7 separate regions of the Mus musculus genome follow, and regions 1, 3, 4, 5, 6 and 7 are each reported to be linked to region 2. The links are microRNA targets in miRTarBase. Many come from high-throughput screens and were not tested one by one. Region 2 holds a microRNA gene; each other region holds the end of a gene's coding sequence. Distances are from middle to middle.
What was found. Region 2 holds the annotated microRNA mmu-miR-181a-5p (AACAUUCAACGCUGUCGGUGAGU, at 1,249-1,271, opposite strand). A microRNA usually pairs through its seed, bases 2 to 8, with sites in the 3' UTR of a target mRNA and lowers its output. Matches are read on the target gene's strand: a 7mer-m8 pairs with bases 2 to 8, a 7mer-A1 pairs with bases 2 to 7 and ends in A, and an 8mer does both.

Region 1: the mRNA of Scai is a reported target of mmu-miR-181a-5p. Seed matches in the 3' UTR shown: 7mer-A1 at 2,231-2,237.
Region 3: miRTarBase lists Ddit4 as a target of mmu-miR-181a-5p. Seed matches in the 3' UTR shown: 8mer at 1,349-1,356.
Region 4: miRTarBase lists Srgap1 as a target of mmu-miR-181a-5p. Seed matches in the 3' UTR shown: 7mer-A1 at 917-923.
Region 5: the mRNA of Chd7 is a reported target of mmu-miR-181a-5p. Seed matches in the 3' UTR shown: 7mer-m8 at 1,303-1,309.
Region 6: miRTarBase lists Arhgap20 as a target of mmu-miR-181a-5p. Seed matches in the 3' UTR shown: 7mer-A1 at 1,661-1,667 and 7mer-A1 at 2,515-2,521.
Region 7: miRTarBase lists Spin1 as a target of mmu-miR-181a-5p. Seed matches in the 3' UTR shown: 7mer-m8 at 1,308-1,314.

What each region holds. Positions count from the first base shown.
Region 1 is chr2:39,071,654-39,075,720 of GRCm38, reverse strand. It overlaps Scai (suppressor of cancer cell invasion), which reads left to right. Exons shown (of 18, transcript NM_178778.3): 18 at 565-4,067. The coding sequence ends at 711. Among named protein-coding and RNA genes, the nearest start is that of Gm30067, 6.5 kb to the left of the region's middle.
Region 2 is chr2:38,849,945-38,854,011 of GRCm38, reverse strand. It overlaps Mir181a-2 (microRNA 181a-2), which reads right to left and starts at 1,277; the gene lies at 1,202-1,277. The region is part of intron 3 of Nr6a1 (nuclear receptor subfamily 6, group A, member 1); the gene reads left to right. It overlaps Nr6a1os (a long non-coding RNA gene), which reads right to left. Exons shown (of 7, transcript XR_866167.2): 3 at 1,653-1,797. It overlaps Mir181b-2 (microRNA 181b-2), which reads right to left and starts at 182; the gene lies at 94-182.
Region 3 is chr10:59,947,270-59,951,326 of GRCm38, reverse strand. Ddit4 (DNA-damage-inducible transcript 4) reads left to right here. Exons shown (of 3, transcript NM_029083.2): 2 at 1-10; 3 at 298-1,652. The coding sequence ends at 791. Among named protein-coding and RNA genes, the nearest start is that of Ddit4, 2.5 kb to the left of the region's middle.
Region 4 is chr10:121,782,119-121,786,185 of GRCm38, reverse strand. It overlaps Srgap1 (SLIT-ROBO Rho GTPase activating protein 1), which reads left to right. Exons shown (of 22, transcript NM_001242411.1): 22 at 411-4,067. The coding sequence ends at 788. Among named protein-coding and RNA genes, the nearest start is that of Gm46183, 11 kb to the left of the region's middle.
Region 5 is chr4:8,865,962-8,870,028 of GRCm38, forward strand. It overlaps Chd7 (chromodomain helicase DNA binding protein 7), which reads left to right. Exons shown (of 38, transcript NM_001277149.1): 38 at 1-2,488. The coding sequence ends at 694. Among named protein-coding and RNA genes, the nearest start is that of Gm46842, 43 kb to the right of the region's middle.
Region 6 is chr9:51,849,554-51,853,620 of GRCm38, forward strand. Arhgap20 (Rho GTPase activating protein 20) reads left to right here. Exons shown (of 15, transcript NM_175535.4): 15 at 1-3,506. The coding sequence ends at 846. All of the region lies in intron 1 of Arhgap20os (Rho GTPase activating protein 20, opposite strand), which reads right to left. Among named protein-coding and RNA genes, the nearest start is that of Arhgap20os, 24 kb to the right of the region's middle.
Region 7 is chr13:51,148,811-51,152,877 of GRCm38, reverse strand. It overlaps Spin1 (spindlin 1), which reads right to left. Exons shown (of 6, transcript NM_146043.4): 6 at 316-3,916. The coding sequence ends at 3,717. Among named protein-coding and RNA genes, the nearest start is that of Nxnl2, 20 kb to the left of the region's middle.

The DNA.
Region 1 (4,067 bases), 220 kb from region 2:
TTCTTCAGGTACCTAAGAAATCTTTTCTGGTCTAAGTTTACAAAGGTTTTTTTCTCTTCTCTTCTGGAAGTTTTTATTTTAGATTTTGTCTTTTTACACATTTTGATTTCTACTACAGCTTTTTTCATACATGCAATGAGTTTTGGGTGGCGGGGCTTGTTTAGTCCCATATGTGGATCTCTCTGAGGATTTGTATCAATTTTGATGGTATAGAATATAGAGCCTAACAGTCATAAAGGTTAGCAAATATTTGTGAAATAATTCAGTATGCTAATATATTAAGCTAGCCCATATGAAGCTATATTAAGAGGTTAAAAGTGTCACTTGTTAGTAATTCAGTACAGTAGCCAAATGTGATTGTGCTCTCCAGAAGGCTAGCAAAAGAGCATTACCACGTGTTTGAGGGATAACAAGATCCCGTCTAAAAGTCAAAAAAATAAATAAATATACTAGTAATAATAACTGGTAAGAGAAGAAAATAAACATTTAACTTAACATTTAATACTGTTAAGCCAAGTAATTTCCTCGCAGCACTCTGTGAACCTGACTTTCCTTATTTACCAGGAAACGCGAAATTACCCAGAATCCTATCCACAACTGCCAAGGGATGAAACCGTAGAGAATCCTCACCTTCAGAAGCACATTTTGGAATTGGCCTCCATTCTGGATGTTCGAAACATCTTCTTTGAGAATTCTATGGATGACTATTAAAACCCTCTTGTTTAACAGTTTTTCATTTTCCACAGATTTTAAATGGTGCAATTTTTTAATGTAATGACATAGTGTGTTACTTGGTTTTTATTTTTGGATTTAGGAAACACCATTTTAAAAGCAAACTGAAAAAAGTTCAAACTTTTAGGGTAACTTTTAAAATATAATCTTTCAAGTCTTTTAAATTCTCAATCTTGAAATTTTTATTTTTTTGGTCTTGGCATTAGATACTTACCTCCAACATCTACCCCCACATTCAAATAGTTACTGTTGTCACCTTAAGAAGAACATATATTGTTTATTTTTCCATAATGAGGACAATCCATAAGTTAAACTTGGACCTGGAAGTGTCTGGATTTGGGAAATACCTAATTGTTCATAGAGGTGAAACTGGCCACATGAAAGTCAAGAGCAGAGCCCTTCTGTGGAGTTGCTTTTCACTTCACACTAATCGGTAGGACATAAGTTACTCTCTGATGTACAAACTGATGTCTTGAGATCTCTGAATTTCATTAAATGATGTTAAATTTTTAGAACCTATTTAGAATTGTTTGCATCTGGAAATTAAATTTTAAATAGGAACTTTAAGATGACAGATATTTAGAATATGAGTACTATTATGATTTGTTTGCATATTTACTTTTCTTTGTGGTCTATGAATGCTAAAAATGCAAAGGAAAATACTTTTAAGTATTTCAGCCAAAAATCAAGTCATTGGTTTCATAGTTGGATCTCTACACAGATTCTTCGTTGGTTGGTTTTAAACAGTGTTGTAATGGATTCCTTGGTATATCCGCTGCACAGTTTTTCTAATCTTTTTTCATATTCAAGTTTCCAAGGCATGGATGTTAGAGAGACTCTGTGTGAGTTGAGGATAACTGGGTGTTAAGGAAGTAAATCGTGAGTTAATTTTGCTTTAACAATTTGGAAGATATTAAAACTCCCTGTGTTTTGTTATTTTATATTCATGCACAAGTTTTGTTATTTTAAATAGGACTCAATATGTAATATAAACGTTTTGTACATCCTTCCCTCCATCTCCTTGGTAATCTCAAAGGTCCTAGCTGTGAAGGTTCTTCCTTCCTGGCATCTTTTGGTTGCATGGCATTTAAATTCAGAAATCTGTGAATTGTAGGGTCTTCTGCCTGTGTCTACCCCTGACAGTCCTAGAGAAATGAGGTGGTTGTTTTCAGTACCTCTTTCCTGTGGCCCTAAGGAAATTTTTGATATGGTATTTTAACCCAGTTAACTCTCACTAGAGCATCACGTGGGTGTAAGTTGTGGCCATATCTGCTCCAGTGCACTTACTTTGTGAAGTCCAGGTCATGGTTGGGTCAGGGACTTAGGAAGTTTCATTTGCTTTTAAAATTGTTTGTATGTTCTTTCAGACAGTATTTTTAAAAGCTTAGAAAAAGGTTAATCTGGAAAGAGCCCTTCCAGATAGAGGTTTTTCCTTTTTAAAAGGCCTACTTCCATTTGTTTGCAAATCATGATTTTCCTTTTATAAACTTTCCTCCTGGAATGTAGCAGTAAATATTCCTTAGTAGTCTGGCCTCTGTTCCAGTTCCCTTAAGTACTGACCAACAATGCATACTTTCCTGTTCCCTGACATCTAAAGTGGCCTTGACCAGTGTTTTATTCTTTTTTGCTAAGCCTAAGGACCAGTTGTTTCAAAAGCAAGAGGTCTGAGTTCTAATCCTGGCTTTTCTAGTAATGAGCATGATATCCTTTGACAGACAAATAATCTGTTTTTTAGCACTCTTCCATATAAAATAGAGCGACTCGGTTAAGATCCTATTCCTGTTTGTGATTCTACAGTTTGGAACATTTGTTCCAAAAGTGTTGATTTCCTCCCCATTGCTTCCAAAAAAGTTGATTTGTGTGGTTTTAGCACTATAATATCCTTTCTATATCGTGTTTACTAAGGTGGTTCAAAACAAACCAAAAAATCCTAGGTCATACTTTGCTGTTTTGAGACTTGCTTAAAGAGACTTTCCTGGAGAAATTAGACCTTCCATGGTCAGAAAAAAAATGTATGTTGCAGATGCCAGTGTAAAACTAGATTATAACATGGGTTCTTAAACTAATAGAAATACAGTTCCTAACTCGTGGTTAAAGATATAAAATGGACCAAAGCTGTGGTTGTAGCTTCTTGGTAGAGCATTTAGCTAGTATTCAGAAATCCTGTGTTTGGTCTTCATCACTAGGGGAAAAAAATATATTTTTAAGAAAGAAAACAATAGAACCAATTTTGAGCTGGGTATGGTGGTGCATGCCTTTAATCCCAGTGCATAAGAGGCTAAGGCAGGAAGGTTGCAAGGTCAGAGCTAATCTAGATTATATAGCAAAAGTCCACCTCAAAAACAATTGTTAAGAGATCTGAAATCTTTTGAAAGCAAAACTGGAGTAGGGAATTTGAAACTTTAAAAAAAAAATCTTTGCCTTAAAAAATAAAAACAAACATACGTCACACATACCACATTATTTTTTTAATGGCATTGAAATGTAAGCAGAGGAGACTTAAAAATCTTTGCCTTGAGGATTAAGATCGGGCTTAGTATTAGAACCTTGCCTAGCATGCGTATATCCCTGGTTTCCATCCCTGGTACTTAGAGGTATAGCAAGAGCATCAGGAGTTCAAGGCCATCCTTAGCTATACAGAGTAAGCTCTAGACCAGCCTGCACTACAGTATGAGACCCTTTTGCAAAAATAGATTTGCCTATTTTAAGCTCCATTTAATCTTAGAATTTTTAAAAACTTAAATAGTAAGACTAAAAAAAGCAAAGCCAAGGGAGCAACATTTTTGTACTCAAATTGCACAAATTTCTCTGTAGATTCTGATAAAGTTTCTGGTGTCTTAAGAATCACTATAAACAAACTAGGAAGAATCAGACTGTAAGAGACTGGTTATGCACAAAGCAAAGTGAAGCACAACAGGATTTTCTTTCTGTATCCATGTATTTCTGATACTAAACCTTCCCTGTCTTATAGGAAGCAAGCTGAGATGTCAGAAGCTACTGGTTATTTGGTGATAGACATAACAAACACGAGCTCATCTCAGCCCAGTTGCTTAAACTTCTTTCTGTAATAAACAGGAGGGAAATTTTTAGAGCTGTATAATCTTAACATAAAAATTAGGATTTTGTTCTGTTTTGGAAATTCAAACCAGTCAAGATAAGGCTCAGTCATAGAGTGCTTGCCTAGCATCTGCAAGGCTCTGTGGTTAAATCCCAGTATAATGAATATTCTCGCCAGTGAATCAGCCACCACTAGCATTTTTTATTAATTATAAAATCAGATTTTTTTTCTTTGATTTTAGGCAGTATATATTCTTTGTAAGTATATCCCTCCTAGG
Region 2 (4,067 bases):
CTAAAGAGACTTTAGATAAAAGATTGAGGTCCCACCTGGAGCAGTACTTCCGTACTCTGGTGACTCTCTGGGAGTACTTTTGTTTCTTTGCGTTTTTTGGCCCGCAGTTTGCATTCATTGATCAGTGAGTTGGTTGACATTCAAACCCACCGACAGCAATGAATGTTGAGTGCAGCCATCAATGTTTCCTTTTGATGAAATTGTCTTGGTCTTTTCTATCTCCTGGCTCTTCTTCCCACTATGGTTCTTTGAAGTCTGTTGTATGTTAGTAACTAGTCATCTGTATGGTTGTGGACTCATAATTATAGATCACCTTGACTGTATAGCAAGAACTTGTTCAAGACAGAAAAGTTGTGAGGAAGAAGGCACTATGTGAGAACCTTGTAAGTAGCTCTGATCACATGGGCTGAGACTTGGATGTTGATGTCTGTAAAGGAGCCCTCAGAGACATTGCTTCATCTTTTGTTTCAAGCTGAGACGTTAAGTGCCCTTTTCAAGGTAAAGCAGTATAGATTATGATTGCAGTTAAGTAAAAATTTTTGTAGTAAACATTTGCTGTGAGCCAGAAACTGTTCAAAGTACCCTCATATATCTTCTCATTAAATTAAAACTCTGAGGTTCTCTCCTCTCCTATTCTACATTTGAGAAAACATACTTGGATACGGAGGCTCAGAGATGACCCAGAATTCCTTAAATTAGCACATGGAGATGGAAATGTATCTGGTTCTCTCATGGAGATGTCAAATCCCTAACCGCAGTAACTGAAACTGGAGGCACAATATGATTTGTATAGACAGTGAGTAACTCTGTGAGTATTTTTGCTGAGTAAATCTCTTGACCCTAAAGCAAAAATTTGAAAGGACGTAGAAGAAATGAGAATAAAAGACTTAACTAGATTTTTTTCCTACAGTAAATAGACATTTTTAATACACCCTATTTCTGACTAGAATGACACATTTCTAGAAGATATTTGAGTGCATTTGGTACTATGATGGCACTTCCCATAAATTGTTAAAATGAAACACTTATTTATCAAGAAATTACAAAAAATAGACAATATAAATACATGGAAGCTTAAAAAAAAAACTTGCTGGTTCCCTTTAGAAAAGAGGCCACAGGACTGTATCTTGTGATGTCTGTCACATGATATATCTGTACAGCCTACTCCTTTGCTTCAGGAAACTTGTTGTCTGTAAGAATCCCAAGGTACAGTCAACGGTCGGTGGTTTTTTTGTTTTTGAATCCCAAACTCACCGACAGCGTTGAATGTTCCATGGAGTCCTCTTAAGGCTGGCTTGGTTGCCCATCTTTGGCCTGCTCTCATATTCTAAGGACCACTGCTGTTGGGTCTCTCACATTCTTCCCAAAATTTCAAGTTAACAGTACTTACACTGTGAAGTTAGTTTGCATAAAGCAGAAATGAGCTGCAGGATTGTGAGACTGCAGTTTACATTGCTGACTAAAAGTGGATATCTGTGGAAATATTTTTCAATGCTATCATTCTGAAAACATCAATATAGCAATTTTGTAGTAATACTTTAATTATTAATGTACAAAAACAAGAAAGACCATAACACATGCTGGGGACTTATGTGTAGTAGGATTTGTATATTTAATTCCAACCGTGTTTTCCTTAAGAAACAGAGACTTACCCGGAGTTCCATAGCCAGAACTTGAACACCAGAGTTCATTGTTCCAGTATTGGTTGGATATGTTGCTTTCTCCTTCCTTTACCAGTCTCAGATTTGAACCTTTACTGCAGAGCTAAATCAAACAAGCAAATTCCTTCTTGTTTGCCTGTAATAGTAGAAAATACATCTAAAGTCATATATTTCAGAGAAAAAGATGAAAAACAAAACTCAGTAGCTGAGAATCATGGGCTGCTAAATTACCACAGAAGTGCTAGTGATGCTCCATGATTTTTTTTCCCCATATAGGAAAAGTAAAAATTCTATGTGTACTAGAGCACAGAGAGTGTATCTGGAGAGATGACTCAGCAGATAAGAACTTGTACTTTTCTAGGCGGGACTTTGATCCCAGCACCTGTCTTAACCACAATCTGTAACTACCAATTCTTGCTGCAGGGATCTGTCAACTCAAGCCTTCACAGGCACTTGAACAAACACACACACACATACATACATACATACATACATACATACATACATACATACATACATTCATTCATACATACATACATACATACATACATACATACATACTTAAAAAATAAAAATCTTTAGAAGAACACAGAGCAACTAAAATGCCAGATGTATCTGATCTTTGTTTTGGGTGGTTATTTTTTATTACTTATTGACTTTCTTTTCCCCCCTCCCTCCCTCTTTTCCTCCTCATTTTTTTCTCCTCTCCTCCCTTCCCATCCCTCCCTCTCTTCCCCTCCCCCTTCCTTCCCCTCCCCTTATCTGGAACTCTCTTTATGTAGAGCAGGCTGCTTCAGACTCAGAGATCTGCCTGCCTTCCTCTGAGTGCTAAGATTAAAGGTTGTATCATCATGCCTGGCTATTTATTGAATATTTTTTATGAAAAGTCTTGAAAACTAATTAAACATTTTTCAGAATATTGGCTTTATTTTAAGCAACATAGAAGCTTTGTAGAGCTGCTGGCTGAATTGAGGTTAATATCTATCTAATCTAGGATACTTTGTGTTTAAATATTTTCTTAAATGTATTTATTAAATTTATTATTTTTATGTGTATGGGTGTTTGCTTAAGTATATGGCTGATAATCTCAAAGGCCAGAGGAATGTGTCAGATTCCCTGGAACTAGAGTTAGATGGTTATAAGCCCACATATGGGTGCTGGGAATCAAACTTGAGTCTTCTGGAAAAGCAGCCAGTACTCTTTTTTTTTTTTAAAGATTTATTTATTTATTATATATGAGTACACCTTAGCTGTCTTTAGACACACCAGAAGAGGGCATCAGATCTCATTACAGATGGTTGTGAGCCACTATGTGGTTGCTGGGATTTGAACTCAGGACCTCTGGAAGAGCAGTTAGTGCTCTTAACTGCTGAGCCATCTCTCCAGCCCCCAGTACTCTTTAACCAATGAGCCATCATTTCTCCAGCCGCTTTGGGTTTAAATACTGATGGTTGACCTAGCTGAAGATTCTTTTTTGTGTTTGTTTGTTTGTTTTCGAGACAGGGTTTCTCTGTATAGCCCTGGCTGTCCTGTAACTTACTCTGTAGACCAGGCTGGCCTCGAACTCAGAACTCAGAGATTCACCTGCCTCTGCCTCCCAAGTGCTGGGATTAAAGGTGTGTGCCACAATGCCCAGTGATGAAGATTCATTTTTAAAGTAGCCAAATGGCACTTCTTGAGAGGGAAAAAAAAAAAAAAATCAGCGAGAATTTGGTTCAAATGGAATTGTTTACATTCTGCATCACTTTATTTCATTCTCCATCAAAATTCTTCTCTTTTTTTTTTAATATTTATTTATTTATTATATGTAAGTACACTGTAGCTGTTCTCAGACACTCCAGAAGAGGGAGTCAGATCTCGTTATGGATGGTTGTGAGCCACCATGTGGTTGCTGGGATTTGAACTCCTGACCTTCGGAAGAGCAGTCGGGTGCTCTTACCCACTGAGCCATCTCACCAGCCCCAAAATTCTTCTCTTGTAATCTTTGCTGAGTTCGGTTGTTGTGAAATGGAAGCCCAAAGAAATGAAAATATAGGGGCTAGAGAGATGGCTCAGTGGTTAAGAGCACTGACTGCTCTTCCAAAGGTCCTGAGTTCAATTCCCAGCAACCACATGGTGGCTCACAACCACCTGTAATGAGATCTGATGCCCTCTTTTGTGTGTCTGAAGACAGCTACAGTGTACTCATATAAGTAAAATAAATTTTTAAAAAGGAAAGGAAGGAAGGAAAGAAGGAAGGTAGGTAGGAAGGAAGGTATCTTCCTGTGTAGTAGTTTAAAACCTCTGGCTTAGGTTTATTTTAAATGGTCTTTGCCTTTGTCTCCTAAGAGATGTCAAGCTTTATATTACTTAGAACAGATAATCAGAAACAGTGATATCTGCTGCACCAAATTAAAATATAAAACC
Region 3 (4,057 bases), not on the chromosome of region 2:
CCGGAGGAAGGTGAGCACTCAGCCGGGGCCGAATTGGGTTCGGGGATGGGGGGTGGGAGGGGTCCCGGGAGGTGGGTACGAAGCGAGCTGAATCGGCTCAAAGCCACCTTGGCTTCCCACCCCAGCACGAAAAAACAGATTACTCTAGGGTTAGAAGACAAGACTGCGGGGCGGAAACTGAGGCACGGAGTGGAAAGGGACACTGTTTGCTTAGGCAAACTGCACCTCCCCCGCCCGTACAGCTCCTGTGGAAGGCGCTCTAATACAATACCCTTTCCCTGTGTTCTCTCTATCCAGACTCCTCATACCTGGATGGGGTGTCCCTGCCCGACTTTGAGCTGCTCAGTGACCCCGAGGATGAGCACCTGTGTGCCAACCTGATGCAGCTGCTGCAGGAGAGCCTGTCCCAGGCGCGATTGGGCTCGCGGCGCCCTGCGCGTTTGCTCATGCCGAGCCAGCTGGTGAGCCAGGTGGGCAAGGAACTCCTGCGCCTGGCATACAGTGAGCCGTGCGGCCTGCGGGGGGCACTGCTGGACGTGTGTGTGGAGCAAGGCAAGAGCTGCCATAGCGTGGCTCAGCTGGCCCTCGACCCCAGCCTGGTGCCCACCTTTCAGTTGACCCTGGTGCTGCGTCTGGACTCTCGCCTCTGGCCCAAGATCCAGGGGCTGTTAAGTTCTGCCAACTCTTCCTTGGTCCCTGGTTACAGCCAGTCCCTGACGCTAAGTACCGGCTTCAGAGTCATCAAGAAGAAACTCTACAGCTCCGAGCAGCTGCTCATTGAAGAGTGTTGAACTACATCCTGGGGTGGGGTGCGGGGAGGGTTTCTCACTGCCCCCCAAAGTGAAGACAAGGAATTTCTGTGGTGGAGACCCGCAGGCAAGGACTGAAGGACTGTCCCCTGTGTTAGAAAACTGACGATAGCCACCTGAGGGGCGCAGGGCCAGGTGGGGGAAGGAAGTGTTCTCCAGGAAGTCTCTAGGTTGTATGCAGGTGGCTCCCTGTTGGGGCACACGCCCCTCAGTACTGTAGCATGAAACAAAGGCTTAGGAGTCACACAGGCTTCTGGCTGGATGTGTATGTAGCATGTACCTTATTTTTTTTTATTACTGACAAGTTACAACAGCAGTTGTGGGCCAGAGCCAGAAGGGCAGCTGGTCTGCACTGGCCTCTGCCCCGGCTGGGGGTTGGGGGCTGGGGGGGAGGCAGGGGGAGGTGGCCGACAGTTTGTGTATCTTCTGGTCTGAAAGGACCTAGTGTGTTTTGTCATTTGTTTTGTATCTTGGTTTTGGGGGGTGGGGATCGGCGCTTCACTACTGACCTGTTCGAGGCAGCTATCTTACAGACTGCATGAATGTAAGAGTAGGAATGGGGTGGGTGTTAGGATCATTCGGGATCTTCGACACTTGAAACAAAATTACACCTGGGAGCTGCAGCCAGCCCATCCCGGTGCCCATGTACTGGAGGATTCAACTGTGAGGAGAGGGGCTGGGGTGGGGGTGGGGGGCTGGAACCCTCTTTTCCCAGAGGAGTGCCACCTGGGTCTTCCATCTAGAACCTGTTTACATGAAGTTACTCGCGGTTCATGAATACACTTGATGTTCAAGTATTAAGACCTATGCAATATTTTTACTTTTCTAATAAACATGTTTGTTAAAACACTTGAGTCTCATCGGCGCCATAAATGAAAAGGGAGAGTGGTGGGTGCTGGTCACAAGTTTCATCAGATTTCAGGGGCCACTTGTGTGTCCCCTGACTGCCTGGTAACTGCCATCAGAGCTCCTGGACTGCCTGGCAACCTGGGAACTGTGCCATCAGAGCCAAGGTCCCTCAGTTCTGCTGAGTGGAGCTACCAGGAGAATGTGCTGGAAAGCACCCGAAGGTGAAAGATGAGTCAGACCTCCCTGGAAGTCTGAGTCTCTACAAGGAGGGTTACCTTGCTCTCCAGGTGAGAAGGCCCAGTCTCCTTAGCCTAAGGCCTTTTCTCTGAGGAAAAGTCTAGACTGATGTGGTACATAGTCAAGGGTATGGTTTTATCTCTGGGTATAAAAAAAGGTTAAGAGACCTTTGCAAAAGACAATTCAGTTTAAACCTCTCCCTAGGCAAGAAACCTAGGCTCAGGAGATGTGGCCCAGGCAGGAGCAGAGACCATACAAAGGCAGGGGGATGACGAGGGTGACCCCTGACTTCCTTCCCAGACAGAAGGCTGGAGTTGGGTTTCTTATCAGAAATGTTGGAGTTGAGCCAAGAAGGCCAAGGCCTTTCTCACTTGTCCCCGACTCCAGAGTCCACCCACACCAAGTGGCCCTTGGAGAATGACTGTCTCCTTTGTTTCTCTTCCTGATCCCAGACTGCCTTTGTGTGCCCCAAGACTGTAAAAAAACGGTTCTTGGTTTTGCATCCTTTTGGAGGGCTTAGTTAGAACAGTTCCCTCAGGCTGGGGATGTAGCTCAGTGTAAAGTACTTGCCTGACAAGTAAAAGACCCTAGACTTATCTCCACATCTCCCACCAACCACAAAGGAAAGCCAGATCCTTCCAGTGAGCTGAAAGCAGAGACTAAAAACATCTGGTTTTCCTCGGGGATTCTATCCAGGACCTGACCTTTGGGGTAGCCCAGGAGACCCACATCTCTTTCATAGAATCCTCAGAGCTTATTCCCCAAAATGAGTAAACCTGAGTTAGAAGCCAGGTGTGACAGTCAATGTACAACCGGAATCCCAGTACTTGAGAGGCGAAGGCAGGGGGATTGCCATGAATCCAACCTATATAGTGAGCTTGAAGCTAGCCTGGGCTGTAGAGTCAACTCCAGACTTGCCTGGACTAGTCTAGATGAGTTTGAGACCAGCTATAATAACATAGATTCTACTTCTCTCAAAAATAAAGTAAAATAAAATAAAGCAAGGGAAGGAGGGTGGGAGGGAGGATACAGACAGCCTCACCTATCTTAGGGTCCCTCTTAGTAACCATCCTAAGAGGGGTAGGTTGGGCAGGGGTGTTCTGTAATGTCTTTGGGCATGGAGAATGACCATCTCTTCAGACAAAGGCTGACCCATGCTCACTCAACCTGAGGGTGCAGCCCACCCCCACCCCCCTTTAGCTGACAGATGCTGTTCATAAAACTGAGACTATGACATTGCTTGCTCCTCTGTGTTCCTAACCCCAAGCAAAAGCCAGGAAAGCCACAGCCAGCCCTTCCCCTGCCTTGGTATCTCCAGGTCTGAGTGGGTCCTTCCATTTCAAAGCTGGTCAGATGGAGGTAGGAGGAAGGACTGCTTTCTTAGAACCAGTGTGACCCAGAAGCCTAAAAGCCGGCTCAGCACCAGACTCTACTCTCTCAAGTAACCTCTGCCAGGGACATGGGCCTCTCTGCCTTTCCTTTAAAACCCAGAGAAAAGTATCAGCCTTCTAGGTCTCTCCTCTGCCTCCCCCCCCCTGCATCCTTCACAATGGCCATGTTGAAATCTTGGCAGTCCTAGATGTTATTGTATCTGCTTCCAGCCCTGCGGGGTGCTCTAAGGTTCCTCTGGTGTATAGTGTCAGAATCATCAAATACCCACTCTCCCTAGGCTCAGGGAACACTAGGGCCTTCCAGCCTCGTGAGGAGAAAGTGCAGAGGAGTGTACTTGTTCTGTATGCCTATCAGCTAGCTTAGGGAAACAGTACAGGCTTTGGTGCAAAGGATTGAACCCAGAGCCTTATCCATGCTAGACATCTATCTGCTTTGCTAGCTGAGCCTAATCCCCAGCCCGGGAGCTCTCAGAGGAGGTCTGTTCTTTGTAGCTAGAGCTGCATGATTTAGAAGTGATGAGCTCTGGGTTCAGACCCTGACTCAGACATTTTGTAGCGGATAAATGAAAACAAGTCACTTGATCTTTGTGGTCTGTAAAGAGGTGATGACATTGGGAAATGACTCTGAAGAGGATGTCACTGGGCTCCACTGTGGGCAGAAAAAAAAGCCAGCTCTGGGTTCGAGCAGTCCTAGGGCTAGCTATAGAACAAGTCCCCTTCCACGGGGACTCCTTGGCTCTCTGCTCTTGTTTTCCTCTTACATCTTTTCAA
Region 4 (4,067 bases), not on the chromosome of region 2:
CTGCCAGCCAGTCAGTCTATCCTAAACAGCGAGTTCCAGGCCAGCAAGACACTCTTATTTCAAAACAAAAGGGACAATACCTGAAGTACAACAACCTGAGGTTGACCCTCAGGCCTGCACATGTGCAAGCACACATGTACACACACACAAAGATGAAACAGAATTCTGATCAATCACGCACAAGACATGGAGACCTCAGTAGGTGGCCTAGTACCTCCGAATGACAGTTGTTTGATCTGTGGCTCCATGTGCGTTGCTTCTAAGTCTCCAGATCATTTAGAGTCAACCCAGATGCACGAGGTGGCAGCGTACAAACCCTGTGGACAGACTGTAAAGTTCAAGTATTCACACTCTCCTCTTTGTTTCTGTGATCACCAGTCTCTCCTTTTCTCTCTTATTTTCTCCACCAGGATATTGAGGAGACCATGAACACTGCTTTGAACGAACTCCGTGAACTCGAGAGGCAGAGCACAGTGAAGCACGCCCCCGATGTCGTGCTAGACACTTTGGAGCAAGTGAAGAACTCGCCCACCCCTGCGACTTCCACAGAATCACTCAGCCCACTGCACAATGTCGCCCTCAGGGGCTCAGAGCCACAGATTCGCCGGAGCACCAGCTCCTCCAGCGAGACAATGAGTACTTTCAAGCCTATGGTGGCGCCCCGGATGGGCGTCCAGCTGAAGCCCCCAGCCCTTAGGCCAAAGCCTGCTGTTCTTCCAAAAACAAACCCTACGATGGGACCTGCCGCACCTTCCCAGGGTCCCACAGACAAGTCTTGCACGATGTAAAAACAAAGGTCACGAGGGGAGGGGGGATGTCTGAAGATGAAAATGAATTAGTGGCAAGAGTGGGTGATCCACAACCTTCCTTGGTCTTGCGCTTATAACTGGAGAGTTTGGCTTTTCTATGTTGTGTCGAATGTAATGATGTCTGGGACTAGCTAAATTAACATGGGCATTTGTATTTTGTAATTTTTTTTAATAACTGGACATTATCGTCGTTTTAAAGACAATAGAAACACTTAGACTTACTTGAAAAATCCAATGCTGCACCCTTGTAATGAAGGCAACACCTCACCCAACACTGCGTATGGCTTCAGATTTAGTGTAGCCCAGGTGAGTGTCCCAGAAGCAAGAGAACCCAAATCCCAGGTCTTACTGGAGTGTCATCACCTGCCACGCATGATCTGTGACACTTGTGGGATGAGCACTCGTTGCCTAGCAACCGACAACAAGCACCTCTAACCCTGTCCAGAGTAGCAGCCCGCACCTGATGAAGGTCACAGAAGGAGGCTCCTGTGGGACCTTCAGTTCATGGCTTGAAGGAGTTCAGTGGTGGACCCTTCCATAAAACTCATCTCCCTGGATCCAGGTTAAAGACTCAGTGGAAGTGTGTAGAAGATACTCGGACATTGCTTGAACTGAAGCTAGAAGAGGCTGTAAGGGAAACTGTCTCCATGCCTGTTGACATGGTTCCCTCAAAGAACTCGATCGGCCCCGGAGAAGTCCAAGTCCACCCCCCACACACACACTTACAATGGACTAGAGCAGCCGAGTCATAAGGACTTTCTGGTTACACCACAAACTCCTGCAGATGTTTTCAATAACTGCCTGAGAAATATGTCTGCCTTCCCCTACTCCCCCCTGCAACCAGACAGGAAATGAATCCTTGGTTCCTTTATGCCACAAAGGCCCAGTGGTCCCCAATCGGAAGCCCCAGCTCTGCTAGCCACAGCTCTCTCTGAGCCAAGCCAGATCTGGCTACTGTACTGAGCGAGAGCCATGTGAGGCCACCATGGGAAGACGACCTTGTGGCGCCGGGATGGTGCCTTCCCAGTTTTGTACCTCAGAATCATGACTTCTGTTCTCCTCCTGTTTGTGTTTGCCTTTTGAATTTTGCATTATAATCTCTACAGACCTCCTGTAGTCCAGTGGGCTCCACTGGGGACCTCTTTCCCTGGTATTTTAGCATATAGCCATTTTTCTTTATCATATATACTATATTTTTCCTCTATCTTAAAAAAAATATGATAGATTTGTGTTTGTTTGGTTCTGGGGACTGACAGGGACTGCTTGCATGCTAAGTATACACTACCACTGAGCTGTACATCCCAGCTCTTGCCCCTCCCCCCCAAGATCATTCTGGACACAACTGTTTTCATTAAGATACAAATCACAATTTTCCTAGCCGTAGCACCCGAACTTCCTGATGAGGCAAACAGAGGGCTCAAAGCAAACCCCTTGGGACCCACCCACCATTAATTACCTTCTAGGTTTAATTTCAAACTGGTGGTGCTGATTGCATTTGCATGCCCACCTAAGAGTAGCACAGCACTGACAATAACTCCTGCAGAAACCAACCAAGACCTGCGCTAAAGTCAAGGTCATGACCCATGGCTACCTCAGTTTGCCAGTATAGTCATTCCACTGCAGGAAAAAATATTGATGAACTATTCCCTTTCCAAGCCACTCTCCTCATTTCACAAATGTACCGAAGACATACTCCCTACCCCCAGGTACTTCAAGTATGGTAAAGTTTTAAACCTCAAATTTTTCAGAACCATTCTTTCTGACCATTTTGCAAAAGAAGCCATGGAGACCCAGCCAGGACTGCCCTTTGACTGACAATGACTGCTGGTCTCTTTGGAAGTTTACTATCTCCTAAAGGAACCCACCACTTATTTAGAAAACAATAACGATTCTTAGAACCATTTTTCCTTGACGGATGATACCAACAGGAGGCAGGAGAAACTGGCCGCCTTTTGAGTTCATTTATAAAGGCTTTTCTTAAGCTTAATTTTAGCTTTTCAGATCTTCCTTAGACAGCTCCCAGGCAATCCCCTCCACCCACCTCCCCCCACCCCCCCCAGTCCAAGGCCTTCAGTGCTCCACCTATAACTTTCTACCCCTAGGTCAGGACTCTGCTGCCTTGAATAACAAAGGCCATGCTTTTGTACTGCCAGGGCCTCTTCCTCTAGGAAATGGCTCCTGGTTGACTCCATCGCTCCTGTATCTTCCTCATCTTCTCTCCTGTACCTACTGTCATTTCCAGGCTCACTTTGGTCTCAAATGAAAGCAAAGAGTGTAGACGGTCTCCAGGTAAGCACCTTAACACTTAACAGTTAAGTCTCCTTTCTCAGAGATGGCTCAACAGGCCTGTTTTCCCCCACCACTCTGACTTTGGTACCCTTTGAGCCATGCACACAATAGCTTAAGGTAAGGCATCCCCCCTGCACAGAGGATCCTAGAAACTGTCCGTCAAGCTCCCTAAAAGCTGCAGCCATGGAAAAGGGTCGGCTTGCAGGGCCTGGTTTGAAACACAGATGTAGCACAGCAGGAAGGTACAAGGAAACGAACCCCAAGGTGCTCTCACTTCTCCCTCATTTCCAGGTCTCACGGTCCATACATACGTAGTTTAGAGATAGGAGCAAATGACTGTCAGCCGAGATACCCGTCTCCACATGCACTAAAGATTCGTAGCTGATAGAACCACGCGGTTTGCACCCCTGATGGAGGTTTTGCAAAGCCCTGTGGTGTGTGTTTCGAGTTTGAGGTGTGGATTGCTAGGACATGGTGCTCATTCTCTAGAGAGTGTCACATAAACTTCTGAGGGCACTGTGTAAACCTTGAGTTCTTGTCACAAGCCACACCATTGTTCAACAGTTTTCCTTGTGTTCACTCAACATAATCTGACGCCCAGTGCCCCACGAGCCAGCCACAGGACAATTCATAGTTGAGGTCTCACTCATTCAACTACCATAGTCATGAGTAAATACCAGTGGATAAAGAGTTCCCAAGGGTCAGATGGTCTCTCTTGAGTTTTCTGTCTCTGCATTTGCCAGTCTCCAAGTGGCTCTATAGTTTAACTAAGAAGCTGGGTTGGTAGTAGTGGCCTTAGCATTTTGGAATGCTCAGTCTCTGACGTCTACATGCTGAAGGAATCGTGATCTAACATCTGAAACCCAACAGTAAGGAGGCCATGAGTCCATTGAGAGTCTATTTGGGTTGATTTTTTTTTTCCTGGCCACAGTAGAAAAGACCATGAATGCAGGAACTGCATGTGGGACG
Region 5 (4,067 bases), not on the chromosome of region 2:
CCAGCTGGCAGGGCTCATGGGCTTCCCTCCAGGACTGGCCACAGCTGCCACCGCCGGAGGCGATGCGAAGAGCCCCGCCGCAGTGCTGCCCCTGATGCTGCCAGGGATGGCGGGCCTGCCCAACGTGTTCGGCTTGGGCGGGCTGCTGAACAACCCTCTCTCAGCTGCTACTGGAAACACCACTACTGCTTCAAGTCAAGGAGAGCCAGAGGATGGCACTTCCAAAGCGGAAGAGAAAGGAAACGACAATGAAGACGAGAACCGAGACTCTGAGAAAAGCACAGACACCGTTTCGGCTGCTGACTCCGCGAACGGATCTGTTGGTGCTGCTACTGCCCCGGCTGCGTTACCCTCCAACCCGCTGGCCTTCAACCCTTTCCTCCTGTCCACCATGGCCCCAGGCCTCTTCTACCCATCCATGTTTCTACCTCCAGGACTGGGGGGATTGACACTGCCTGGCTTCCCAGCACTGGCGGGACTCCAAAACGCCGTGGGTACCAGCGAAGAAAAGGCTGCTGACAAGGCCGAGGGAGGGCCCTGTAAAGACGGAGAGACCCTGGAGGGCAGCGATGCCGAGGAGAACCTGGACAAGACTGTAGAGTCCTCCATCTTGGAAGACGAGGTTGCACAGGGTGAAGAGCTGGACTCCCTCGAAGGCGGGGATGAGATAGAAAACACCGGAAACGACGAGTAACAGCAGCAGCAGTTCCACTGAAAGTGTTGAAAACTGTTGACAGGTGGTAGTCCTACTGTTTACACTCACAGTTAATGTTCATACCTAGTTTTATAAGCTGTTCTGTAACATAGTGTAGCAAAAAAAGAAGAGAAAAAAAAAAGAAAAGAAAGAAAAAAAAAAGGAAAAAAGTCCAAGTCATGTTATGCAGGTGTGTCCGAAGGTATCTTGGTCATAAGTATTGTGCAGTGCATTATTTATTATCCCTAGGAAGGATGAAATTTGAGAGGTGATCATGTCTTTTTAAGGAAACTTACATAATGCTCTGCTTTTTTCTTTGGGTACCACTGGTATTATAATAAAGAGCAATCTGTAACAGAGCGGCACTAGTGGAAGGAAGTGCTACTCAGAGGACGTATGAAGTTATATATTTAATTTTTTAATTTTAATTTTTTTTGCTGTGAAGGTCAAGATGAAATTTACCATACATATCATCCCTTGTTCATTCGTCTCCCTTTCTGACTTTATGGGGGTTCCCACATTTGCATACACACATCCATACACTCTGACAATCTCCACGTTAGTGTGAACGCCTCTGTCCCGAGGCTCAGCAATAATCAGGCAGCTGTTGAATGTGAAGGGTCCCTTTGGAAAACTAACCTTCTGGGAGGGTTCTTGCCAGACAACTGCAGTTCCATTGGCTTGTGGTCTTGTGATGCACTGGTAAAAACTAAATAAATAGAAGAGTAAATAGAAGATTGAGAGAAGTGAGAATCAGGTACCTTTTTTTTTTTTTTAAATTAAAGGACTTTGTTACTTTAGCCACAAAGCTAAAACAGCATTACCTCAGCTCTGAACTAGCCTTGAAGTTTACAGACAGGACTTTGTAAATGTTTTTCTTTGTTGTGATGTCCTTTGATTTTTTTTTTCTCTGAAAACTGCTATCATGTAAGATAAAATGTAAATTTCTGCCAACTGTAGTAATGATGCTTTTAATAAAAGTGACCCATGATATGCAGAGATGTAGTTATAGAATGCAGTGTACAGGGGAGCTGGTGTCCACTTTTTTTTTTTTTTTTAATTCGTAATAGCTGCAAATACAGCATTCTGGCATTCGGACTTTGCTTACCGTGTCTTCTCATGCTAGATTAGCTGTTAGTAACACACACTAGTTGTCTCCAAGACCAGATGGACAGGAAAACCTTGAATTACCACCTTCATGTAATTCCACGCCAGATATCTCAGCAGACACATACACACACACAAACCTCTTATTGCTCCCCTGAAAGGGCATCTGAGAGTAGGGCTCCTGAAAATGTGTGCAGCCTGTGATAATGGGGCACACAGTAGACAAAAGGGCAGAAGAAAAATGAGGCTTTAATAGGCACACTATCTAGGTCATTTATCCTTGGATAATGGGAAAAAAACACAATGTCGTAGTGTCAGCAAGGGACACAAAGGCATTCTGGTGTCCTGCAGACCAGAGCTTGATATCAAGAGCCAGTGTGTGGAAAAACCCACGTGGAACTAAAATGGACCCATTTAAGTGTGTGTGTGTGTGTGTGTGTGCGCACGCATGCGTGCACATTCACGAGCATGAACTCACATTCACCCAGTCTCAAGGACTACTAGATTATTAAATCCTTTATTTGTTTTCTACAATAAGGTTTAAATTATAAGACCTTTTTCTATGTCATTTCAGCAAACCCTATTTCCATCTAAGAAAGGAGTGATATACATGGAATTGTGCTTGTCTTTTACCTTCCCATACCCCCTTTACACACCAGTACATACCAGTGCACACACAGGTTATCCTCTACAGGGGACAGGCCAGCCTATCTAAATTCCTTTTGGACAGTGAGATTCCAGCTGACTTGTGTATCCAAGATGAAAATATGCCTATATGACTGGAAGAGGAGAAACTTGAAGCCACAAGAGTGGCAAAATCTTGAAGGCTAACCAGCCTGTGCTCGGTTAAGCAAGTGCCTTCTGAAATGGCCTCCTTTGACCATGGAAGTGAAGCTAGATCTGCGGGGAGCAGAGACCTTAAATGTTTAACGGAAACGCTTGAGTAGGGAGAGCTGGTTCAATAAACTGCATTACCAAAGGGTCTCTTCCTAAAATTCTGTTTACTGGAAAGTTCCTTGTCAGCTTCTGTGAACAGGGATGAGTGTGACTCTGTCCCTGACAGCACTGAGTGTCTCGAGTGATGCTGATCTTCAAAGCAGAGGTGTCTGTTGCTTGGCAGCAGTAAGAACTCTGAACTTAGAAATCAGCACCCGTTTTGTATTACACGAAGTCATTTAGAGTTCCACATTGGAAAATACATGTTTTCTTTCTTCCAATGGAAAGAAGTCATGACATCCTGAATCTATCTAAAAAATATTTACGATTCGGCCTAATGCTAACCAGTGTTTCCCGTGCTGTAAATGAGGCACCAGAGCACCAGTACTGTGTGATGCTTAATTCCACGAGGGAAGCCGAGAAACGGAAAGTAAGTGGCTCACACTGCATTGGAGGATGTGTGAACCGTGGTCCAACCGGCCCTCCTGAAGGACTGCATTGGTTTTCAAAAGAAAAATTATATGTGTGTGTGTGGGGGGGTGATCCAAAGTTTTTGGTGTTACTGTGTTTTATATATTCCTCTTCATAATTGCATAGTGTAGTTGAGGCTGAAACTTGAAAGAAGTGCTTTTTTTTTTTTTTAGTTTCTTTTTGGGGCAAGGTCTCTATGCAGCCTAGGCTGACCATATATTCACTTTCCTGCCTCTGCCTCCCAAATGCTGAGGTCATAGGTGTTGTGTTAGAAGTGTGGCTTCAGACAGACCACACCAGGCCAAACAGTTCCACGTGGTTTATGGTAGGAGAAAAGGGCAAAGGTGGCTGTGAAGGAGATGGGTGGGGGAGGGGAAGAGGGAGAGAGAGGTCAGAGGGGTCTGCCTTTTATTTAAATGGAGACCTAGTGGTGGGAAGTGAGCCAAATGGATTCTGGGAATATGGTGGTGGTTGTCTTGGCAACAGGTGTGTAGGTCACTGTTGCCTAGGTGTGATGTCACTGGGTCTGGAGCTGACCATGACACCAGCATACCACCCTTTTTATCATAGAAGAAAAGGGGGGAGGGGCAGGGGAAGCCAAGGAATTAAAGGGTATGGGGAGCCAGTCCTGATCCCGTAATAGGAGTGTGTTGTTACACAGGGAAGGAAGCCTGTGAAATTAGATCTGGAAACTGGAAATTTTCAGTCCCAGTTTGTGTGTTTGAATTTGAGTTTATGATGTGCCCCCCTCTCCCCCCCCCCCCCCCAGTATTTCTAGTGTATAAAGAAACCAAGTTCTTTGAAAAGATGAACTTGGTCCTGATAGACCCTGGTGTTGGAACCAAGCTTGGCCGGTACT
Region 6 (4,067 bases), not on the chromosome of region 2:
CAGAGTTTGGTCATGGGCATTGAGGTGGGCAAGAGCAGCAGCTCTCACCAAAGCACTGAGAAGGTTTTGCCCCCAAGACTAAACCTTTGCCCAAGGGCAAGCTATTCAAGCTTATCTTCTCCAGGCTCGTCCCCATCCGGCTCCTCTGTAAGCTCCCAGGACAGCGCTTTCTCTCAGATCTCTGAACACTCCGTGTTTACGCCCACCGAAACCTCCTCACCAATAGATTGCACTTTCCAGACACAAAGAAAACAAGAAGAGCTGTCTTCAGACTTTGACAGTCCCAGCCGCCTTTCCGGAATGCCCGGTCCCTCCATGGGTCAGGCCAGCAGCCACCTAGCTTATTTAAGAAAGGGTACCACGGAGCAGCCATCACAAATGCATTCTGTAACCCTTCACCCCAGTGCGTGGTTGAGAAGTGGCTTGGTCACTTTAAAAAACTGGTCCCTCAAAAAGAAAACAAAAGCAGCCAGACCAGAAGACAGGAAAGTCTGTTCCCTGAAAGAGCCTCTGGAGTTGCCGTCATGTGCTTCCGGTACCCCAGAGGCTGACTCTCTACAAGAGAGTCAGGATGACTTACAGGGAGATGAAGGACCTGGGCAAACAGCCTGTGGATTCAGTTCTTATGCCTGTCAGGACTCAGAGCAACATGCCGGCTCTCCATTCCACCTGGCAGAAAGCAGACTCAAGCCTTGTATGAAGTTATATAAGGGAGAAGAGAGTGGAGGGCAGTACCCTTGTGATAACCCTTGGGAAGGAGCCTCTTCAAGTCTGGAGACCACGGAGGATACAGCCAACCCAGGTGCAGAACCTACAACATTTGCGATGACGGGGACAGATATTTAACCAAAGACCGTTACCTACAATAAGAATCTGATATCAAAATAATCCAATGTCTTTAAGAACAGGAACTGGGCCAATAAAAACACAGACAGTAATTAGATAACCCCATTTATAAGGTGCCTGAGGGCATGTAGCACAAGGACAATCACTGCTAATATGGTAATTTCTTTGTTGAGATTATGTGGCAGAAATTTGTTGAGACGTTACATGATCTAAGGTTTTGGAAGGCTTTTCCTATTAAAGCATGGGTTAAGTCCTTTCCTGAGATTTTCAGATACTGATAGAAGGGTAGAGAAGTGTCCTCTGTAGAAGATGCCTGTTCGTGTCAGCAGTCTAAGAGTTCAGGTGTTTTGAGAAGACCAGAGTACTTTAAATGCAGCATCGGTGACACATAGAGAAGAGTGGGAGAGAGAAGCCATCTTTATGCCATGGAATAAGTAGGCAAGAAAAGGGGGGCCACTGAGCCACTCAGAAAAGCATGTATGCTCACTAAGGAAATCATGTAAAATCTGTCCCTAAAGCCAAGTCAGTGGCCATTTCTGTGGCTGTTCTTAGTCACATATCTTCACTGGGTCATTTTTGGGACCAGCTCGTTGATGAAGGCAGAGTAGAGAAAACTAGTGGGTAAAGTGCCATGGGTGCTGGGACAACACAGCCTGTAATCGGGCAGCTCGGTTGGTTTTTGTTGTTGTTGACTTTCTCTTAGGGTTGAGTGCATTCACATGTATCTTTCTGAAATGGAGATACAAAGACAAGGAAGGAAGAGTTTGCCCCATTTTAGTGTCCTACCCACAGTCCCTATGCAACTGTGTTCTGGGAATGTAACGTATCCCTACATAAAGGAACCTGCTGATAGCATGCATCTCATAGCGCAGAAGAATAGCCACATAATAATTAGGGAAATTACTCTCGAGGTCAGTTTTCCCTGGCTGACTAATCTCAGGGGCAAGACTTCAGAGAAACAAGAGATGCTGGAGTTGGTAGCAGCCATGCAATGGTATTGTGCTGTGATCAGTAAGTGTGTGCAGAGATGTACCCAGATCAGGAAGCTGGGTCCTGCAGTACATACAGTATATTACAGAAAGTGGCCTCTCTTTCTTAGACCTAATGGCCAGTTGCCATGTGACACTTGTGTGCACAGATATACCCAGATCAGGAAGCTGGGTCCTGCAATACATACAAGATATTACAGAAAGTGGCCCCTCTAACTTAGACCTAATGGCCAGTTACCATATGACACTTCTCTATATAAGTCATACTTTTCTCATTTTGAAAAATGGCAGTTTCCTGCAACAGCTCTCCCTTCTTGGTTCCACAAGCAGTATTTATCAATATGGCGTCTCTGTGGAATGTTTCACTGTAGCCCTTCCTGTTAGATTACAGTCAGCCAAGAGGAGACAAGGGACAGCTGTTAATTATTCTTTCATTCTACAGATTGTTCCCGATTTGAGATTGGCAGACTGTAAGATTATTGAGGAGAACACAATGACATTGCTCTTGGGTGGTCTCTGATGGCCACTGCCTTTGGGTTTTCTTGCTGAAGTTCTCCACTTTTTCCAAATGATTTATAGTTTATAAATATTCAAGTTTAGACCCTGGCAGTTTATCATAGACCTTTGTCCTCTCTCTCTACCTTCAAGGCTACATCAGTATGTCTTCCTTCCACAGCCAGAATGTAATGGAAGGATACACCCTAAGATAGATGCGCATCTTCCTTCATTTGAGCTACTCCCCTAGTCCAAAAGTTTCCTAAAGTCTATGTGATCTCTTGAATCCCTGTTTAAAAAAAAAAATCCACTCAAAAAATAGCTTATCCCAAATTATTATTCCTACCAGTCACCAGGAAACTCGTGGCAGATGTCTCCTTCTCCTAAAGATCACATTGTCAGTTATAGGGTAAGGACTTATATCAGTATTAAATATTGAAGTGCCACCTACCTCTCAGGCATGGCCCTGTTTACCCTAATCATAATTAACTTTCAAACTCTGTGTCCAGTGAGCTCCTTCATGACACTTGCAATCTCAACCAGATGTAACCAACCACTTCCATATGAAGACTCCTCCATGCCCTCCATATCTTTTGTGGTATTAGTATATAAAGTTGGCAGATCAACGCTTCCCTTTAGAGCATACTACTGTCAGAACTGCAAGATGTGAATGAAGATCTTATGGCTTAGATTGTCTCTCTGTAAGAAATGTCTCCTAAACAAAGTAAAGTGTCCTGGCTTTTCTCTCCCCACCTCCTTTCATAATGGCCCAGTAGAAAAAATCATCCACTGAGTTTGAAGCATAGAAGAAAATAGCTGGTAAGGCTCTCTGCCAACCATTCTGACTCTGTTTCCTTAGATGCTCCCAGGATACTTAATGTGAATAGTCTGTTAATATTGCTGTAAAGTATTGTATGAAGACAGACATGTCATTTTATTAGACTCCATCAATCTATAATATATTAGACTGATTCTTTATCTCAAATGCGATGAGTTTGTATAATATATCTTGACAAATTTTATTACCGTGTTATGTAACAAATGTGTATTTTTGTACCTTGCAGAAACTGCTGCTAACTTTTAAATTGTTTGGTTTTTCAAGGCACTGAAAATGGACATGTACCAAGTCCATGCTGTCAAATAAAATGCCACCCTGCAGCTAACAGTCCCACAGAGAAATACTGACTGCCGAGGAGAGTTCTTTCACTCAGCAAGCCTGAGCTCCCTTTGAGTTGACCATTTCATACATAATGAGTTGTGGCCTTAAGTTTTTACTCATAGTTTTTCTAGGGGAAAAGGAGTGAAATTGTTTTTCCTTTTTATATTTTTAAATCTCGTTTATCAAACAAGTTATGTTTTATACCTAGCCGTTCCCCTTTTGTCAGAAATTGTGTTTTTTCATTGTATTCCCGGAGTGATGCAGACAAGTTTGTCCACATGCCAAAAGAAATAACAGCTCACTTTGATTGCATGTATGAGATTTTCTTTCACATTTAGGCCATTCTGACAAAAGGACCAAGTTGACTTTCTACACATACCAGGATATCTGTTCTTTGATGTATGACAGTTTCCCAAGACTACTGTATCTCCTGACTTCTTGAGGTTTATCAAGCAGTCTCTGTATAAATCTAACTACTATTTCAAAGGGATTTATAACCTAGAAAAACTAGATTTGCTCCAGCCAGGTGGAAAGGACAAATCCACTTTGACAAATGTTACTAATTGTATTTCTACAAT
Region 7 (4,067 bases), not on the chromosome of region 2:
AAAAGCACTGGAGGCAATATTTGAAGAATGGGTAGGTATGAAAACACTCCACAAACATTACCGAGTTCTATGTACAGTGATTGCTTGAAGTTTAAAAGTCGGGGTTAACTAACATTTCTTATTAATGTCAAATCAAAACATCAACAGTTAGATCCGAGATGACAGCAATGCCGGCCCAGATCAGATGGCACTGCTGTCACCGCTCAAGCAAACCTTCATTTCCTTCTTTTTCTATCAACCCTGACATTTCCATGTGGTGGAAACACTGCCTGACTTCCAGACCCCTTTCAGCAGATTCAACACAGCAGCACAAAGTTCACAGCCACAAGTTGCACATAAAGGGTTTATTTTAATGTTTTAAGGAAGGATAAGAGTTACATCATAATTATAAAAATTACTTACAGAATTAACAGTTGTACTGTGTATACTTCTAAATGCAGAGAACAGGGAACCGTCTACACGTTGTATAAAATAAAATTAAAATTAAAAATGAATTCAAGCTCAAGAAAATGAGGTCATTTATCTAGTTTTAAATGTGAACACGAAGACCTCTGAACTCTACTCATTCGTTCGAACTGCACCAATGATGGAAACTACAGAGAGCGCAGCATTCCCAAGGAACACAGACATTTCCACCACAATTACTTGTAGTATTTTTCCTGTGTCATCTTTGGAGGACTTTCATCTCTTAGACAATCAGTGTTAAGTGTTTTCAGGCACTACAATTTGTGACGGTCAGAACAATCTTCCTTCTAATGGGTCTACAGTGTTCAGAGATTCAGGCCCAATGCACTTTGGGGTTTGGCACATAAAACAAGAATAGAAATGAAATCTGGCTTAGAAGCAACTGTGATCTTTAGAGCGTGCACAGTCCCTTCGAATGCTGCGTGACATATACAACTGGAATCACCTTCGGTCGGCGCTACGACTGCTTCACCAGTTCGTCTTTACCCTACAACCACTAGAACAGCACAGTAAGCAAATATACAGGAAACCAAAAGCAAACTGAAAGAAAGAGAGAAAGAAAGAAAGAAAGAACCTAGGTCTCTTTGACATGCAATTTTAGTTTTAGTTACATTGAACATTCTACTTAGAAGAGAGCATGCAAAAATGGATGGTCTGCTTTAAGGTTCTTCTCTGAAGTTTACGTGGCAGCCTGACGTCACACACGCACGCACACACGATACGATACTAGAGCAGGTAAGTGAAGAAGGCCAGTAAATTTTATACACAGATTCACGGCCCGTGTTGCCACAAGCCCCATGAAAATTTTGGAAATTAATGCTGAACTCCTAAATGAGGAATCAACATTCAGATACCAGAACAATGCAAGCAATGCATGCAGATCTGAACTGTGAGCCTAAGGGAAGTCCAAGGTGGCAGGCCCAGGAGTCTGTCACCATTAAGGGTGGTGGAAGCCACCAAAAGAAAGAGGGTGGGGTGGGGGAATTAAAAAAAAAAAAAAGAAAAAAAAAACAATTAAAAGACAAACAAACCAAACCTTCCCCTTCCCTCAACCTTATGTAAAGGCAATAAATGGAATCGTGATCAAAATCATCCCCGTCCTCACGCTTTCCTCCTCCAGCCTGGGAGTCCACGGGGAACCAAAGTTAACTGAGGTGGCTTGTAGAAAACCACAATGTAAGTCATCAGATAGTGGCAGACAGGTTCTAACTGACCCAGTCCTTGGGACACTTCAAAAGGAGTTTTACTTTCTAGTCACCATGCCATGTTCTGCACCGTTAGTGCATGCAGGACGTACTCACACCCACTTGTGCCACAGATGACAGCATGGGCTGTGAGTCAGACTCAGCTCGGAGATTTACATGCAGGACGACACCTGGTCACATATACTAGAGGCACCAAAGACTAGGGTATATCATACTGCCTTGAGAAGCCTGTCCCTGGTGCCTATGAGAAAACACTGAGCACACAACGATTGCAGCCAAGGACAGAACTGAGGTACTATGTTCACATGGTGAGCAGTTGTGACCACCCAGCAGTGTAAGGTGGTCAGCCTCTGTGAAAACTAAATGGATAGCCAATAACCATGTGCCTCGAACAGTGAAAAATTTCTTGCATCAGGAAGAACCCCAACTAGGTAATTGTAACTATACTTGGCCAAGCCTCTGGTGTTTGCTTGACAGTATCCAAGACTGTCCAGCCACAGATAGGTTCAACCTCCGTGAGAAACTGGTTTTTACAAACCATCTTTCTACCAGCTGACAAGCTACCATGGTTCTTCCAAAACAAAGTGAGAGCAAGCAGATGTTTGGCTAGTCTACCAACTGCATTTCAGTTCTATTTCAGCTTTAAGCAACCTCCCAGGAATAATCCTGAATGCACTTGATGGCGAAGAGCTGCGATCCACCCATAACTGGCAAGCATGACCTTCCCAGCGACACACACATCATAGACATGCAAAGCCCGGAGGCCATGGAGGGAATAAACCTGCGTGAATAGCACACCTGGGGCAGGAACAGACACTGCCACAACAGGATCAAGGCAAGAAGCCATACTGGTCTAACATTCTCTGTGGGGAAAGCTAGGAGGAGAGGGAGTGAGGGAGGAAGGGAGAAGAGGCCTTCTGACCATAACCATGTATCAATAGTAGTAATCAAAATTACAAAGTCCCAGAGAACTTGATAGAAGGCAACAAGGCCATCCTTAAAACTTACATTTCTAATACAAATGCACTGTTCTTGCAGGAATTCACCACATATACAAACCATTGATGTAGTGTTGCCTTTTAAGTCCATGTACTAAGATCCCGATGACAGGTGTGTACAAATGGACCAATGTGCCATCTAAAAACACATCTTTATTATTCCATGTGAACCAAGGACCTGGGTCGTGGTTTAAAAGTACTTACGATTAAAGAGTAAACAACAGAAACAAATAATAACAAAAACCACAAAAAAACAAAGCTTAGAATTGAAGGCAGCCTTTTACCCAGATTTCTCAACAGTTTACTAAAGACTACTGTGGGTCATTGACTGTTTATGGCTAATTTATACCTGGACTCAGCTAAAAGCCTCCAGACTGAAATGGTACTCAGAAATTCTGACTTTTTAAACAACCTAAATGTCTCTGTGTGCTTCCTGTGCCCAAATTTAATTTTAAACAAAGAGCAGGCATATTATAAATATGACTGACTTGGGTCAAGCACTCCTGTTGAACTGGAGAAAACGTTATCACCCCCACCCCAATCCCCAAGGAAAGGAGAGCCAGCGGTGAGTGCCTCTGTGTGTGTATAATATATACATAGGCACACAGATGCAGATCTAGACAGGTAGCTATATAGATACATAATCTCTCAAAAAAGGCAGTAACAAAAATAACAAACTATGCTTGCATTGTGGCAGCAGAATAAGACAGTGTCAGAGTGAAGGGAAAATGGTTACAATCTATCCAGGTTTAAATGACTATGATACTAGCTTAACGTTTACCACCTTGCTTGTAACCCCCAACAGACAGCTTTCTTGTAAGAGGGAAGACCCCCTCACACAGATGCTTTGAAGAGGGAGGACTCCCCTCACAGATGCCTTGTGTTCGAATCAGTCTGCACTATTCAGAACAACACCAGCTCTGCTGGTGGAGATTGTGGGTTCGCAGGGACATCTAAGCTTTCATTAAACTGGAAAGCAATCAAGTCTTTATGTCTACAAATTATACATTTAATAGTTCCACAAATTTGGCAAAGTTTGTGATGACATCTAGGATGTTTTCACCAAATCGTAGACGTAAATATGGAAATCGTCATCAAACTTGATGAAATAGACAGAGGGCTTGGCCTCTACTTGGTGGATGACCATGCCAGTCCTTTTCGAGCCGTCTTCTTTGGCATATTCCACTTGCTTGCCTACCAGGCTGTCCACAACTTCTCCTGGCTCCCTTTCTGCTGGAGGCGAATCATCTGTATTTAAAAAGGAAAAGGAAAAAAAAAAAAAAAGTCAAGTCAATATTTAGATAGATCACTACCACATTTTGCAGCAAATATAAACACTTCTAAGATATCCTGAGTTTATCATGATCTCGTCAGGTTAACACTTCCTTAAAGGATTACT